Bombyx mori: one gene and its partners. The protein of the gene in region 1 interacts with the protein of each later gene in a biochemical or structural test. Links are inferred from orthologs where the notes say so. Each region holds a gene or a part of one and is shown in the gene's direction. Other genes may lie near its edges.

Region 1 (5,374 bases):
GTATGACTACCAAAAGGCTATCAATTAAATATGTTTTATATATATATATAGATAAATTACATTAGAAGGAATAAATAGAGATTTTAGGTAAGTATATGCTGATGTTTTTTTTAATCATACATAAAAAATATTTTGTTAAGCACTTCATTCCATCATAAATTACATGCCATCCATTACATCACTTTCTCCAAAATTGCTAGTGCTAGCGGCAGGAACATCATCTTCATCATCATAATATGTGTAATGATCGAAATCATCTGCATATTTGGTATCCGATATGCAATCATCATCACACAACATGAATAATAAATTCTTTAGTCAATGTGTCGACCACATAATCACTTTTCCTATATTCCCTTCGATTTTATTCACTATTTGGCACATTTTATTACAATGAGTGGCAGCCATGAAATTGACTTTTTATTTGATCAGGTCGCTTTAAAGCAGACAGCTTTAAAGCTTTAACTAACATTCTTGTTGCTAACATTAAAGTACAGTTAGTTTACTGTTAGTTATAAATTGCAGTCTATTTAATTGATATTATTTTTTATTTTATCAGTATTACAGTGGCTATTTTACTACCTAACACTGTATTTTCATGTTGAGAATAAAGTTTAAAATAGTACGTTATTAGCATATTATAATAATACTTGAGTACTTGAACCATACAAAGTTGATAAATACTATTCATATATACTATTTATATGATATTGATAAACACTGTTTTATTAAAAAGGGGTAATATGGAGGGTTACACTTTTTAAATTATATAAAATGTTTTTTCTTTTGACAGTTAATTTGTGCTCAAACACAATAGATAAATTGCAAATCTACAGAGAGAATTTTGAAGCTGCATATATGCAAGCCACAGAAGAATTTTATAAATTGAAAGCAAGTGAACATTTGCTTGCCAATGGAGTTCAGTCATATATGAAGTATGCTGATCAACGTCTCAAAGAAGAAGAGGCTCGTGCTCACCGATATTTGGAGCCAGGAAGTGGTAGTGTAGCTGCATTAACTCAATGTTGTGAAAGAGTACTTATTGGAGAGCATCTTCCAACACTTTTAGCTGAAAGTGCTACATTGATTAAAGCTGGTGAGACAGAAAAGTTGCAACTTATGTTTCGTTTATTGGATAGGGTCCCAGAAGGAGTCGTGCCGATATTGAGAGATTTAGAAGCCCATATAGTATCTGCAGGCTTAGCTGACATGGTTGCATCAGCAGATATCATAACAACAGACTCTGAAAAGTATGTAGAGCGTTTGTTGGATTTATTCAGAAAATTTAGTATGTTAGTTAAAGATGCCTTCTTGGATGATCCAAGGTTTTTAACTGCCAGGGACAAGGCCTATAAATGCGTGGTAAATGATACAACTGTTTTTAAACTTGAGTTGCCTTCATCAACTCTTGCCCGTGGTAGTAAAGGTACAGCTCCTGAAAGCAAGTGCCCTGAACTTCTCGCTAACTATTGTGATATGTTATTACGAAAAACACCGCTAAGTAAAAGATTAACTAGTGAACAGATAGAAATAAGATTAAGAGACGTTTTGTTAGTTTTGAAATATATTGAAAACAAAGATGTATTTATGAGGTATCATAAGGTTCATTTAACAAGAAGATTGATATTAGACTCAAGTGCGGACTCTGAAAAAGAAGAGGATATGGTAGAGTGGTTACGTGAAGTAGGTATGCCTGCAGACTATGTAAATAAATTAGCACGAATGTTTCAAGATGTAAAAGTAAGTGAGGATCTGAATACACAATTTAGGGCAGACACAACTCGTCATGATGCCATCAATATTAAAATACTCAATGCTGGAGCTTGGGCCCGTGGATCTGAAAGAGTAACAGTAAGTCTGCCACTAGAATTAGAAGACTATATTCCTGAAGTTGAAGAGTTTTATAAAAAAAAGCATTCAGGTAGAAAATTGCAGTGGTATCATCACATGAGCAATGGCACTATAACATTTGCTAATTCAGTAGGTCGTTTTGACTTGGATGTTACAACTTTTCAAATGGCAGTGCTATTTGCATGGAATCAAAGACCTATGGAAAAAATAAGTTATGAAAATTTGAGATTAGCAACAGAACTTCCAGACCCTGAACTGAGAAGGACTTTATGGTCTCTTGTGGCTTTCCCAAAATTAAAAAGGCAATTGTTGTGCTATGATCCATTGATTCAAAATCCTAAAGACTTTGTCCAGAATACAATATTTTGGGTAAATCAGGAATTTGCGCTTATTAAGAATGGAAAACCACAACGTAGGGGTAAAATAAATTTGATTGGAAGACTTCAGTTGAGTACAGAGAGATCTCAAATAGAAGATAATCATTCCATTGTGCAGCTAAGAATATTGAGGACTCAAGAGGCAATCATAAAAATACTAAAGATGAGGAAACGCATTACAAACACAGCACTTCAGGTATGGAACTTATATATTTTTGTTTCGATGTACAGTAAAAGCTCTATTTGCAGGCTATATTTTCCCTAAATATGCTGCGAATATGGAAAAGCGCGTTTACAAAGGATGTTCGGTTCGACCTCCTACCTTGGAATCTTTTATATCAATGTGTATGTACTGATTAGATTTCGAGATAGAGATTCGTGAATCAAGAAATCTTTAGGCGCGAACGTAGGCATTAGGTCGCATTTTTTTAATCAGCGAATAGTGAAAGCGCGAATAAAGAGCTTTTACTGTGTTAACTTTGAATATCTGTTCCAAACATGTGTACATGAATGCTTTCCACTAAAAACAAATATGTATATAAATACTTAAGGTAAGCTTTTTGTGTTAGGAGATTGCATCAGTAAGTACTGTATTCCTTACAGGTTACACTCATAATAGTGCAAAGTGGTCTTCTACCACATGGGGTAGTAGTGTTTTTATATTTCAGTAACCACACTTGATACCAAGTAGATACTGAGCTAGTTCATGCTGCACAAATGATGATTGATTATAATTTTGCCATGACTTAACAAAAGAAAAATTTGAACATACTTAGGTATAATAAATTGGTTTGGAAGAAAGCCTTTGCTTAAATAAATAAGTTTTGACAATGTTTTCGTAATTGCTTTCATGATTCTTAATTCTCCAATAAATGTTATATGGTATTTAAATAATTGAAAAGGTGTGTTGGGTTCACATATTCAAATATTACATCTTATTCTAAGCAGCAGAAATTCAGACGATAAGGGCTGACGAAGTGACGAAGATCACCAATTGAAGATTTTTCTTGTATTGTTCACTAATAAATACATTCTCCTTGTCTCCACCTTATACCACTAAGTGGGATCGACACTGCCAATGTTTGTATTCTCCTCTATCAGCCGTCATCTCAACACTCACTCCTCTCTCTCTCATATCGTCATTCACACTCCATCCATGTCTTCTTCGGTCGACCTTTTTTCCCCTGCAGGATACCACAATTTCCATACATCTCCTATTTACGTGCATCTCTACGCATCACAATATGACCATAACACGCTAACCGTCCGCTCTTTATAAATAAGTAACAAATTTTTATTATTTTTATTCCTTGCAGAGCGAGCTGGTAGAGATTCTAAAAAATATGTTTCTACCATCGAAGAAAATGATAAAAGAGCAATTAGAATGGCTTATTGAACATAAATATATGCGTCGCGACGACGAAGATATTAACACGTTTATATACATGGCCTAAAGTCAATAATGTAAATGAATAAAATCAATAAATTATTTACTCTATTTCTCTGTTTATATATCTATATCTGTAGTCTCTGTTAATAGTTCAAAATATCATGTGTTGTTTATTAGTAATTGTAAGGTAGGTAACATAAATGCATATTGATATTATGTTAATATTTTATTAAATACATAGAACATAGTTTACATTATTAAATGTAAAAAAAACATAAAATTAGTTGTTGGCTGGTTCTATAGTTGTACCTCCTTGAATTTGTCCCCAACCAATTAACCTGAAAATAAGTAATAATATGTTGACAAAACTTGTTTCAAAGCACATGTGGTATACCAGTTATGCATTGATACTAACCGCCAGTGATTTTCTACTCTTCTACTCAATGCTACTTTTTCTCCAATTTCCGTGCAAACAGGGTTCGTAAGGGCGATTTTAGCCAAATCAACTTTTGTGGCGATTACTCGGCCGCCAGTACTTAACGATCCAATATTTACGAGGAGGACCTAAAAAATATTTAATGTGCAACTTTAATTACAATAGATGTGTGATCAACCTAACGGCCCAAATAGTGCTAAGACATTACTGTAGTTTCTAAATAATGTACCACTGTTAATTACCTCATTTTTGACTAATTTTTGGACTTTGGCAGCCTTTTTATCTCCTTCAGTGCGCACGCCAAGCAAACGTTTCAAAAGATAATAAGATACTTCGAGTTTGACAAAAATTCCCGGTAAACATCCAACTGCTCCTAATACCTGCGAAATTAACAGAAATAAGTTAGTGCCTATTGTAAAAATATCCATAGAATAGGTATTATTTTTTGCATTTGATGAGTAACGCCGCATCTCTGATATTAAATGGTTAACGGTGCCAAAACCTCAGAAATGTGAATGCCGCCACCCGCCTAGGGAGTTGTCCAATGTCCCATCCTTCAAACTTTAATTGATAACTGATTATTGATAGAAATGGACAGGACGGTAGAACCTATCAGTGCCATCGTCAGTAATTAAACTTATAAATATCAATCTTGGAAGTAATTTTTACAGCTGAAAGATGCTTAAAATAAACATACTTGTCCCACAAGTCTATCAGCACGGCACAGCGTTGGTTCGATCTTCGTTCCTACGCCAATAAGACCACCAGGGACGGCATACTGTAGCTCATTCTGCTCGGCAAACAGCGAAACGATGCGTGAAAATATGGGTCGGCAAGTTAATTTACCATCTGCATCCTTACTGACTAAACCAGGCCGCACCTGTGAAATAAGTGTTTATGTGTTGAAAAATATATTAACTATTATTATTTATTTACCATGACAGACAATACGTACTTCGATTTCCATACCGACAGTTAGAACTCCTTGAAGAATTGATCCTCCTGCCACGCCACCCCGTAGATCGTCAACCTCGCAACCAGGCTTATTTACATCGAATGAACGAATAACAATCATACGAGGAGGCGATGTGAAATCCCTTAGGGGTACGGGAATCTTTTTTGTTATATACTCGCAGAGGACCTTTAAAAAAATGTTTTTATTGTTAGTTGAAATATTTATTCAATGCTATTATTAAATACTGTATATCGAGGGGTGAAAGGCTATTTGTTTTAAGTGACATTTATCTTTGTATTTAAAGGTGCGTTTTATTTGGTATTGGTATCAAAGGTTCTAAGTTTTTAATTGAACATCAGTTATCT
Region 2 (6,586 bases), on another chromosome or scaffold:
TTGTGTGACGATATTTCTGTATTCTATAACATAGGAAGTCTAAAACAATTTTCCACAATACAAATGTTCAGTGATTCAAACGAACGAATATACTGTCGACCCTGCATGCATTAAGCCCGGCATTTATAACGAGTAACGCACAGATCAAAGAGCAGCCTACGCCGACACGTGTCACTTATTCTCATAACAGCGAAAAACGTGATAAAATTGAAATGTCCAAAATGCAGGGTGCACTTAGTAAGATATGAATATGAATTTTAATATGTTTTATTGATGTAGTCGTTCTGCTGTGTATTGCTAATTATTATAATTGTTTTTTTTTAATGTTACGTAGCTCGATGTGAACTTCGAGTAATATTTTTTTTTTCAATTGCATACTTTTCCTAAGCTGTCATTTATCTTTGGTCAGGATGCGAAAGTGATTAATTTCTGAAAATGAAAATCGTGCCCCACAATAATACAGTAGTTTAGGTAAGTTATGAATTTTATCATTGTAAGTTACAGGTTTGATATGAAGTAGACAAACAAAAAGAAATGAATTATAGAAATATAACTATCAACATTAACTTTATTTGTATTGTCGCTTGTATAATGGGTTTAATAGTTATGTTTAAGTTATTGGTTCATAATATTTTAGTAAATAAATAAACCAAATTCGACTTTATCTCCAGCAGCAATATGCAATTTAAAGTTTAACCATAGTGAACTTTTTAATAGTAAAATTTTCACACTTATTTCGGCCACGGTAGTTTTTGCGTGATACATTTTTTTATATTGACATAGGCGATAAACCAGCAAACTTACTTTGAAGTTGAGGTCTCAATTGTATTAGTTTTTTTTTTATTGCTTATATGGGTAGACGAGCTCACAGCCCACCTGGTGTTAAGTGGTTACTGAAGCCCATAGACATCTACAATGTAAATGCGCCACCCACTTTGAGATATCAGTTCTAAGGTCTCAGTATAGTTACAACGGCTGCCCCACCCTTCAAATCGAAACGCATTACTGCTTCACGGGAGAAATAAGCAGGGTGGTGGTACCTACCCGCGCGGACACACAAGAGGTCCTACCACCAGTAAGTACCATTGTAAAACGTTTCTCTTCAAACGGAAACCCATGACTGCTTTTCGGCTGAAATAAGCAAGACGGCGGCGGTACTTATGGGTGTGGATTTAAATAATATACGCCTCACCACCAAAAATTTCGCCGCTTCATTTTATTACACGATGTTGTTATTTGTTGGTGGAAGTAGTTCTTGAACACTGATGTGATGCGTATGTTATTAAAAAAAAGGTAAATTGGTTTAAAAAAATTGGTACTGCCTGCCACTGCAGGCATTTGCCATGAACACTGACCTGATTATGTCATCGTTTGATAAGAGTACATCGGGCATCTTATCCTTTTGGATAACTTGAAAAGAATTTAACAATCAATGAAAAACGGACTAAGAAAATTAATTGGACTCAAGTATAGTTAACCAAAGCACTCTCTAATTCTATAATACTAAGCTTAGATAGATTCAAATAAATTATTTCGAATAGTTAATGTTTTAATAGTAGTGTACATACCTATATTCTACTGTATGAGACAGCCTTATTGCGAAGATGTATTGTTAACAATAGAAGACGACAACTGATAGTTATCGGCAAACACTTACCAAGAGATAAGTTTAAGTGCACTTTATACATTTCACAGGATGTGTGCCGCCTATTGTATTTTAAAAAAAATTATGGAAGTACTTAAATTCGTCCGATTGAGATGTTTCACATTGATTTTGTTTTCTAATCTCTTCGAAAACTTTTTAATTACGATTAGTTAGATAAAATATGTAGAAAAAATATTATTTTTATATTTTCTTTAATTATTATTGAAAGCTAACGTGACAACATTTTAAAATTGTACTTTACAGATCGAGTAAGGGTAAAGACTGACATTTGATTCATGAATAATGGCGTTACGAAAATCCTTGTTAGCTTTATCGTGGATCGAAATCAAGAATAATAATTTAAGTAGCCCTATAAAATAAGTATAATAGCATACAAAAATATCACATTTCACTGTATGACATCCTGGCTTGACTACCCCTTGATAAATCGGTCGTATATAACATACATTTATCTCGCTACAAAGGAACAAAAGCATCGATACAAGTATATAAAACACTCGAAACTTCCAAAAAGGATAATGCCCATCATTATAAATTCATGTGCTTTGTCGTTTACAGTATTTATTTTCAACAGTTTCGTTAGGGGAAAACCCTCTTTTCGCTCGAAAGCTCCCGAAAGCGTTGAGAGAAGGCGTCGGGCGTTTCGTTCGGGCACGGGTATTGGCTCCACACTTCCCCACCACGCTAAGTCTCCGCCCTAATGAAAATTCTCCCCTAGAGCATGGTATGAGATTTCATTCAGTACCGGAATGTCACGGAGGCAGGTGGTCGTGTCGTAGTACGTACGTCAATTCGTATTATTTGAGTCATTCGTAACGCTGAGTCAGTGAGGCACGCGCGCTAAGTGATGTTTGGTTCCGTGCAAGCAAAGCTATAGGAGCCGTAGGTTATGCACGCTATGAGTGATCCTTCGCCGTTGGCCGGCATGTTGCCTTTTGACTCTATCTACGAGCAGCCAAAGCCAAGGTTCATTTTCAAAATGCCACGTGTAGTGCCCGATCAAAAAGCCAAATTCGAATCAGACGATCTCTTCAAAAGACTTAGCAGAGAAAGTGAGGTGAGTTTTTATAAATGCCAACTTTAACAATTGTATGCAAAGTGAATTGAGTATTCGTTTTTAAATTTTAATGGTCCGATTGCTAAGCCATGCTTTAAACAAACAGGAAAATAATGCATTTGTATAATGTTATATTAGTCATCGACAAATAATTAGCGTAAAATACTTTAACTTATAGTAGTAGTTAGTTCTACATGATAAATATAATAACAAAAAAATTGAAAATTCACTAATACTTATTTAAAACATTTGTAATTCTTAATTTTATTAATTTTTTAATTCCATATAACATGTTATTACAAGGAACAATTGACGATAGGATGATTTAAACCTTTTTCGATCAGAATGTACGAAGTTTGACCGAGTAGAAGGTTCTTTGATTGAAACATAAAATAGTTTCAAACATATTTCATTTATTTCTTATTATCTTATCTTATCAATTATCATTTACTGAACTTAATTTTGATTAAAATAAACGCATTACTATGTACATACCCGACCTAAATACTGAATCTGCATGCTAACTTTCATATCTAACTAAAAGAGAAATCATAAATTCATGTTTATCTTATGGAATTCATGGATTTCGCTGTGAATTTACAATACACCCACAAAAAGAAGAAAAAAAACAAGTCAGAAAGATATGAAAAGGAGTAGGTATACTTAATATGAGACTTCAAAGCGATATTAGCCCACTGAGTTTCTCGCCGGATCTTCTCAGTGGGTCGCGTTTCCGATCCGGTGGTAGATTCTGCGAAGCACTACTCTTGCTAGGGTCAGTGTTAGCAACACTCCGGTTTGAGCCCCGTGAGCTCACCTACACACGTCAGGGTGAAGCTGAAATAGCCTCTCAATACTATCAGCATAGGTAGGAAAAAAAAAGAGGAAAAAAATAAATAAATACAAAAGCGATATGCGGAAATAACAATTAGGAAACAGGTTAATGATGTTCTGGGTTATCGTTAGAAACTTGAACGTATGTATGTACATACATCTAAGCGGCTCAATCCACATCGCACGAATAAATAGCAGTAAAATAATTCATTGTAACCATGTTTAGGGCATATCTATGAAAATTAACAGACGAGTACGAAAACACTTATTACCGGTGGTAGGGACCTTTTGTGAGTCCGCACGGATAGGTACCACCGCCCTGCCTATTTCTGCCGTGAAGCAGTGATGCGTTTCGGTTTGAAGGGTGGGGCAGCCGTCGTAACTATACTGAGACCTTAGAACTTATGTCTCAAGGTGGGTGGCGTATTTGCGTTGTAGATACCACCACTTAGTGTAGTAACCACTTAACACCAGGTGGGCTGTGAGCTCGTCCAGCCATCTAAGCAATAAAAAAAAAAGACATACATGTAAATAGTTATTGGAAATACCTGAGGAATAGCCTAGGATAAAACTAAATAGCATACGGAAAGGAAACCTATACTCGTCGAATGATCCCAAATCATAGATACAGCCCACTGAGTTTCTCGCCGAACCTTCTCAGAGGGTCGCGTTTTCGATCCGGTGGTAGATTCTGCGAAGAACTGCTCTTGCTAGGGTCAGTGTAAGCATCACTCCGGTTTGACCCCGTGAGCTCACCTACTAGCTAAGGTTACGCTGAAATAGCCTCTCAAGGCTCGGCTTAGGTAGGAATTTAAAAAAAACCAGCAAATGAACACAGCATTAAATTTTATTCAAATCAATTTAACGATTTATCTTTAATAGCTCGAATTTAATTTATTCAAGCTTTATTTAAATTTACTATAAACTTTAGTAATTAATTGACCAAATAGGAAATAAATGACTAATACAATGAAATAATAAATAATCATTATAAGTAGGTTTACTTATTTCACGTGCAATAAAAAATCTGCTGCACATTCTGTTGCACAAACTTGTCTGAAGGAATTTCATAACTTTTTTAATGATTCGCAAACCTTCTGTTGTAAATCAAAACGAGTAAGCATTTACAAGAGCGATCATCAAGTAGACAAGAATAGCCTAAAAGAAATTATCCACGGTGTACTAACCGAATTGAAGAAGGAATATATTTATAAATATCAATAGTATAATGCACTCCTCTTACTGTCCATATTGTGAATATTTATTTTTTAGCGCACTACGCACTAGATGATGTTTATGTAAATAGATTTTCAAAATGCTTTGATACGCAAGATAAACAGTATATTTATGGGATGATATATTTGTTGGCAGGTTAGATACACTGGATACCGAGACCGGCCTCCCGAAGAACGCCAGATGCGATTCATGAGCGGTTGCCGCGAGGGACACACGGAGATAGCGTTTACCGGTACCGGCACAAACCTTCAGCTTGTCTTCGATCACTCACCCTACAACAACCGTGGCTGCGACTTTCAAAAGGAAAATGGAAAAGTAAGTCTTAAATGTTGTTTTACGTAAACATCGAAACGGTTTTCTGGTCAATGGTAGCCAGGTCGTCTGATGAATGAAGTGAGGAAATTTTGAAATGGTAATTTTTACATAGCTGCGTTTTGTTTGAAAAAATCTCTGCGTAAACGGCCTTCTGGAAGAGATCGTAAATAATATTAAATTAAATAATTAATTTAAAAAATAATATTTACTTATTCGTTTTTAAATTAAATTATGTTTCGTATGTTTCAAATAAAGTATCTTTCTTATCAACTACAGTGATTTGGAATAAAGTTGTATCTAAAAAAATATCACTGACCAGTAAGTTAGTTATACATATTTTGTTAGATACAGTTTTCATCACTGACATGCGAAAGGAATTTTACTGAAATGTATGAAGTGATTGGTTTTCTTCTATGCCTAACTGTAACTGACAGTTGGATCAACAGCGTAGTTCTTAATGCCGGTTGTACATACTCGTCTCATGGTTTCGCGTGCCTCTCGCTTGCTCTCGTCGCCTAGAGGCTCGACACGAGACCACACCATGTACACACTCGAATGTGATGAACTTCGGATGCCCGTTGCGATGGACCTAGAAGAAGATGACGCAGTTGGCGGACAACTAAATGAACGAGTGTGTACAGGCGCGCTCTCGTTTTCATCGCGAAACTTCCCGAGATCATTTGACTCGAGCGCAAAAAACCGACACGCTTCCCAGAGCCACGAGACGAGACGAGGGTGCCATGTACACACTCGTCCTCAGCATGTCTTTTTCACCGTCCTCACTGAACCTTGCTTGTTGCTTGCGTCGAGGGGCTCAGCAAGTAAATTAACCCATAGACACAACCCACTGAGTTTCTCGCCGGACCTTCTCAGTGGGTCGCGTTTCCGACCCGGTGGTAGATTCTGCAAAGTACTGCTCTTGCTAGGGCCAGTGTTAGCAACACTTCCGGTTTGAGCCCCGAGAGCTCACTTACCCGCTAGGGTGAAGTTGAAATAGCCTCTCAAGGCTATCGGCATATGTAGGATAAAAAAACCTCGGCCTATTTCGTGGTGTCTTGACGAGTGTGTACAGCCAGCGTAATAATATAATTTTGATAAGATTATATTCTCTCTCTTCTATATTACTCTCTTATTCTATATTATTCTTATATTCTCTCTAAAGATGTACATTTGTTTCATGACGAACACTGAAAAAGAAACCCAACCTTTAAACTCGGAAACACTACGAATAATAAAACTATTATTATTCGTAGTAGAAACCTAATTAAGTACAAACGACATATTATGTAGTTTGCTTTAAGTTTTCTTGGCACATTGGTAAATTTTTTTTGATGATTGAAGGATTACTAGTGGCCCGGATGCCTTTCCAGTTTCTCCAGGAGAGGTGTTAGTAAGGTCTGCTCCTATGTAAAATAAACTCAATACTGGGTATGCAAATGTACTAACTTAAAATTCAGCTTAACTTAAATTGTAAATTT
Region 3 (5,429 bases), on another chromosome or scaffold:
AGTAATTCGTTTCAGTTTGAAATGTGGTGCGGCCGTTGTACTGTAGAACTGATACTTAGAATTCAAGTCTCAAAGTGGGTGGCGGGATTTACGTTGTTGATGTCTATGGGCACTGGTGACCACTTAAGATGGCCGTGGGCTCGTCTACCCATCTAAGCAACTAAAAAAAGCAATTAAGCAATAAATAAAAAAGCATCTAAGCAATTAAGCCTAAAATGAATTTTGTGAAACAGATGCTGAGCGGTCAACTGGCCCTCATAATGGCCACAAACGGCTCAAAACATTAACTACGTGTACGGAGTGAACACAATTTTTTTTTGCCTACCAATTGGTAATAACCTCAAGGGGCTATACTCTAGCTAGCTTCACCGAACGTGCATGCAAGATGACAGGGCTCAGCCTGGAAGACTTTATTAGCATCTGCATGAACACTACAAACAAACGCACGATTCTTTATTGGTTTAATGGCATCCGAAACGGTAATTTTAATCAGAAAAATAAAGTTAAAGTCGAAAACTAAAGTCAACAGCGACGAATTAAAGGCGGTGTGGAAGCTGACGATTACTCAATCTATTGCTGAGTCAGCAGCAGCTTTCAACGTTAAATTGTCAAGGTAAAAAAAAAAACTAGATAAGTGCGTGCCGCACGAACTCAACGATCGCCAGAACGATTAAGGCTTTAAAATATTCCTTGCGTTGGTTACCAGACACAGAAACAAAGGGATTTTAAGCCGCACTGTCACATGCTACAAAAAATGGATTCACTTTAATAACCGTAAACAATCATCATATTGGTAAGACCTTGGTTTGGCACTTAGGATATAACCCAAACTAAAACGTAACTCAAAAAAGTCATGTTCAACAGCTTTTTACCACTCACTATGTGAACTGTGAAGAACTGGAAACAATGATGGAGGAGATTTCCGAATCTCCGGCTAGCCTTGGTTAATCACTCGTACCCGCTGCTCCGACACGGCAACGCTCGATCCCATATGGCACAACCTACAGACTCTACACTACAGGCGCTAGGGTTAGATGTTTTACGTTATCCACCACTCACCAGAACCTGCGCCAACAGCTTTCTACTTTTTCCAAAGTTGCACAATTCTTTTTGCAAGGAAAAAATACAATACCCGAGAGGCAGTACAAAATGTCTTTGAAGAGTTTGTTAGCTCCAATGCACGTGGTTTCTTCAAGAAAGGCATTAAAAAATTAGCACGGCGCTTGGAGACATGCATCAAAACCATTGCAACTTTTATTGAGAGAAATAAAAAAATTAAAAAATTACTGTGATTAATGGTTTATATACCGTGATCATGGCGCTTTACAAAAAGGCGAAATTCACTAAAATAAACAATCGTGGTGAGAGCACTATCAATAAGATATAGACATAATCAAGTGACTGGGATTATCCATCAACAGCTTGCTCTGAAATATAGCTTAGTTGATTCTGCTGTACCTTATTACTAATACCAACCTCAGCAGCAAATTCTTAAAAATGGTCATGTAACGCTCTACTGGAATCGATCTATTATCATGGATAGGTCTATTGTTGCCAATAAGCATGTTATTGTTATTGGTCTGCACATCGAGCAATTTTGGTTGATATCACCATCCTCATGACGAGAACCTAGTAAAGACAGGAAAGGACAAATTAATAAAATATTTAGGCCTCATTCACGAGACTATCACCATGTGGCATGTTGATTCAACCATCATTGTTCCAGTAGTTTCAGTACAAAGTTTGATAGTGAACATTTTCGTTATCCAGCTGGGTTGGGGTCTGGTACAAAAATCAGTCATTCTTGATACGGCGCATATTGTGAGGAAGTTTCTCACTCTGGAGACCTAACAGCTTGTGTCGTAGACACCGCCATCGGCGACAATAATCGTTTTATGTAGTGTTTTTTTTAAATAGTTTTTGTAATATTTTTTATTTTATTAAAATACCGTATAATTAATAAGATTTAGATAGATAAGATTTAAAAATACAGTATAATAAATAACACTTTGAAACACAATGAGGTGAACACATTCATATCTGGATGCACTATATAGAAAAGTCGGGTGTTAGTGAAATATGTTAATTCCTCTAATTACAAACGATTTTTCGGGAAAGTTTATTTAACAACTTGGCAACATTGTTAATCTGACAAGCCGATTTTTGGCCTAAAGGTCTAGATACCAGGCCATAATCTTCAAAATAAAAAGCCGATTTTCGGTACTTGTAACACTAATAATGTCAAAAACGTCAAAAAACAAATCAACATGAAGTTTTTAAAATTTCGATTCAGCTGTCAAAAACATAATACACAACCTAACAACTCTTGGTTATTTTTTAATAAAACGGGGTAGTTTAATTTGAAAATGGCTTCTGTGATGGATGTTGATGAAGAAGAAGTTGAAATGGCTTCGTCTAGTAGTGGCAAAGGAGATAAAAAAAGATTCGAAGTAAAAAAGGTGAGGTGCCATTTTGCAAACTCATTGTTGAGCTCTTAATATTGAAAATTTCTTTGTTGTTTCTAGTTTTAATGTAAACAATTTTGTTACAGTGGAATGCAGTAGCACTCTGGGCTTGGGGTAGGTTTCTTGATAATAAAGTTTCGTAACCTCTACATCGTTCTGAACATGATTTTGCTTTCCAGATATTGTTGTCGACAACTGTGCTATTTGCCGAAATCACATAATGGATCTGTGTATCGAATGCCAAGCAAATCAAGCCTCAGCCACTAGTGAAGAATGCACAGTTGCTTGGGGTGTTTGTAATGTATGAGTACCAATTTTGGAAAACACAATCATTATTGACTCAAAACTAATTTATTTAATTGCTTGTTTTTGTTACAGCATGCATTCCATTTCCACTGTATTTCCCGTTGGTTGAAGACTCGACAAGTTTGTCCACTAGACAATAGAGAATGGGAGTTCCAAAAGCAAGTACATTTTATAAAGATATATTACCATATATTCCGTATAATACTTTAATATTGAAATTGGTTGAGTGGTAAATAAATCAATGATAAGGTATCAAAACTTGTTCACATTTAATATAGACAAGATATATTCTATTAATAATATATTTATATTTTTACAGGTATGGTCATTAAATGTCATTTAGAAGAGCTGCATCCTGCACAGGAGTTTGACATCTTCTGAACATAGGGAATTAACATGTCAATATCTATTAAGTTTGTAATAATAAAATAACTCTTACAAAATTCTGTATGTGAATTTTAATTGAAAATTCGTTGAAAATCTGTTGTTCATAATAATCTGGCATAAAAATAGTAAACTCCTATGATTATAAATAAAAATTTTACTTAATGGAAGCAAGTCACTCCAAGATATTCTTGCAAGCACGTTATAAATTACAAGGTAAATAAAAATTACATAAATTACTCAATAAAGTATAAAAAGAATTTTCAGAGGCATTTTATTGTGATATTTATTTAATTATTATTTTACAGTCACTAATTTGTTAACATTGTGGAACTTTTCTGATTTTTATACCCATTCCCAGGGAATATCACAAAAGCTAGTAGCCATAACTAGCAAAATATTATTACTATACTGTACCTTAGTAACATAAAACTAGGCTCATTATGATATACCAAATGAAAGTTTCAATGTTCTAAAATATTGTGAACCACATTTAACAGTCTGTTGTAATATTGGTATCCAAACCCCATTTCATTTGTAAATATTTCACAAAATACTTCATATGAATAATGAATAGTAAAGAAACAAATATTATTTTTCATATAAGTCACTGGCAGATATTTTAAAAAATGCTTAGAATCAAGAGAAGTATTAGTCAAAGTACAAAATGCTTACTCAATTTTGGAGATAAACAAGAAATTTACAAACAACCAACAATCAATACCACAAATTTGCAAGCAAATTTCAAGGTTCAGTTCACATTACACTTTGGCTTCTCTTGATTCATTCTAGTCCTGGACGCTGGCATGTATTTGGATCATTATTTTGGGATTAGATTCAACTGTTACGAAACAATTTATTCAATAGTTTGTAACACTAAATAATTGTAATTGATAAATAAAGGAATAAACAACAACTTTACTTGAAGTCAGCACTCAACAACAATGCTCATTACAAAATTAATCCATGATACCTAGTTCAAATATGTCAGTACTAGTTTTGCTTTCCACAGACAAGTTTTTACATATTAAGTAATCAACTTTTGTCTTTTATCTTTTGCAATGTGGATAACAATTGATTAATAATTTCTCAATAAGTACAATATGCTAACTAATTAAGATCCTGTGAGTTATCATAATTAAGTTAATTAAAATTACCATTACAAAGAACACTTTTTTTACAATTATTTACATGATACTATTAATACACTATAATTCATTTATTACTACGATTTAATTGTAATTTTTGTTCTTTAATGAAAACGGGAAAAATAATTGTGCTAATTAAATAATAATGACATTATTTCACTATTGGATTTAATAAATATTGGAATCATCAAATAAAATCCAAAACCTATCACACAATACTCAAATTTCCAAATTTTACATCACAAAATAAATACTAGGTAAAATAATTCTAGTCAGTGATAATTATACTAATTATTGAAAATAACGGTGGAAACAACAATAAGGTAGTTGCGGCTGTCAGTCTGCTGATAAAGCTGTAGGCAAATCGATAGTGCGACTTTCGTTGCCAAAAATTAATCTTAGGCGTTTCATTGGAGGCAGAGGACGGACAGGACTATGTTTTCGATGTCGTTCCTTGGATCGACGTCGTTTCTTCAAGCGTCTAGCAGTTTCGGGATCGACACCTTCTAATCGTAAAACTTCATACTCTGGTGCTTCAGCAGGTGCTCCACAATCCATTACCTCTTCAACAACAGGACTTCGTTTTACACGTAATGTCAACTTCAATCCACGCCTTGGTGGAGTACAAGGGCAATCACTGCTTTTATTAGAATTATCCACTAACCAAGGAGGTCCAGAATCAACTTCTCTTTTTGACTCATCACTTCTATTGCTTATTTCTATTTTTTGAACCTTATTGTTTTTACTATTGTTAGGCTCACTTGGATTTACATTTTCCCTAAAATCAATTCCACTCTTTAAAGACGAATTTTCATTTCTCACCGTACAATCAATTTCATCAGGTTCTTTTTGAACCTTTGATTTACTTTCTATAATTTCTATTTTATCCTCTGTCGCTGTAGCTATAGGCAGGTCTGTTTCAGTTAGAGATTCTTTTTTATCACAATTCTTACCACCTAAATGGGTATCAGTATACACAAAAGAATTCAAATCTGAACTGTGTTCATTATCATTTACAATAGGTAGGTCGGGTTTAATGTCAAAATTGGAAATTTCTAAAGTGCTAGGTAAATCAGCCTCTTCTTTTGGTGTATTCACATTTCTTTCATATTTTATGTCTGAACCT

Evidence for each region. The genes of interacting proteins can lie anywhere in the genome.
Region 2: the proteins of cullin-5 (region 1) and protein big brother form a complex in vitro, tested with the Homo sapiens proteins (4 studies listed by BioGRID). The link is inferred for Bombyx mori from reciprocal best matches to the Homo sapiens genes CUL5 and CBFB.
Region 3: the proteins of cullin-5 (region 1) and ring box protein form a complex in vitro, tested with the Homo sapiens proteins (4 studies listed by BioGRID and IntAct, with this or other methods). The link is inferred for Bombyx mori from reciprocal best matches to the Homo sapiens genes CUL5 and RBX1.

Annotation. Positions count from the first base shown.
Region 1 is NC_085129.1:7,723,372-7,728,745, forward strand, and holds the end of cullin-5, read left to right. Parts: intron 1-793; coding exon 794-2,424; intron 2,425-3,544; coding exon 3,545-3,682; 3' UTR 3,683-3,726; downstream 3,727-5,374. UniProt on the Homo sapiens protein: Core component of multiple cullin-5-RING E3 ubiquitin-protein ligase complexes (ECS complexes, also named CRL5 complexes), which mediate the ubiquitination and subsequent proteasomal degradation of target proteins.
Region 2 is NC_085110.1:9,018,726-9,025,311, forward strand, and holds the start of protein big brother, read left to right. Parts: upstream 1-2,294; 5' UTR 2,295-2,555; coding exon 2,556-2,723; intron 2,724-4,928; coding exon 4,929-5,108; intron 5,109-6,586. UniProt on the Homo sapiens protein: Forms the heterodimeric complex core-binding factor (CBF) with RUNX family proteins (RUNX1, RUNX2, and RUNX3).
Region 3 is NC_085119.1:7,170,951-7,176,379, reverse strand, and holds ring box protein, read left to right. Parts: upstream 1-2,307; 5' UTR 2,308-2,366; coding exon 2,367-2,459; intron 2,460-2,551; coding exon 2,552-2,579; intron 2,580-2,644; coding exon 2,645-2,766; intron 2,767-2,843; coding exon 2,844-2,929; intron 2,930-3,090; coding exon 3,091-3,103; 3' UTR 3,104-3,437; downstream 3,438-5,429. Other genes in the region: histone-lysine N-methyltransferase KMT5B, read right to left, coding at 4,640-5,429. UniProt on the Homo sapiens protein: E3 ubiquitin ligase component of multiple cullin-RING-based E3 ubiquitin-protein ligase (CRLs) complexes which mediate the ubiquitination and subsequent proteasomal degradation of target proteins, including proteins involved in cell cycle progression, signal transduction, transcription and transcription-coupled nucleotide excision repair.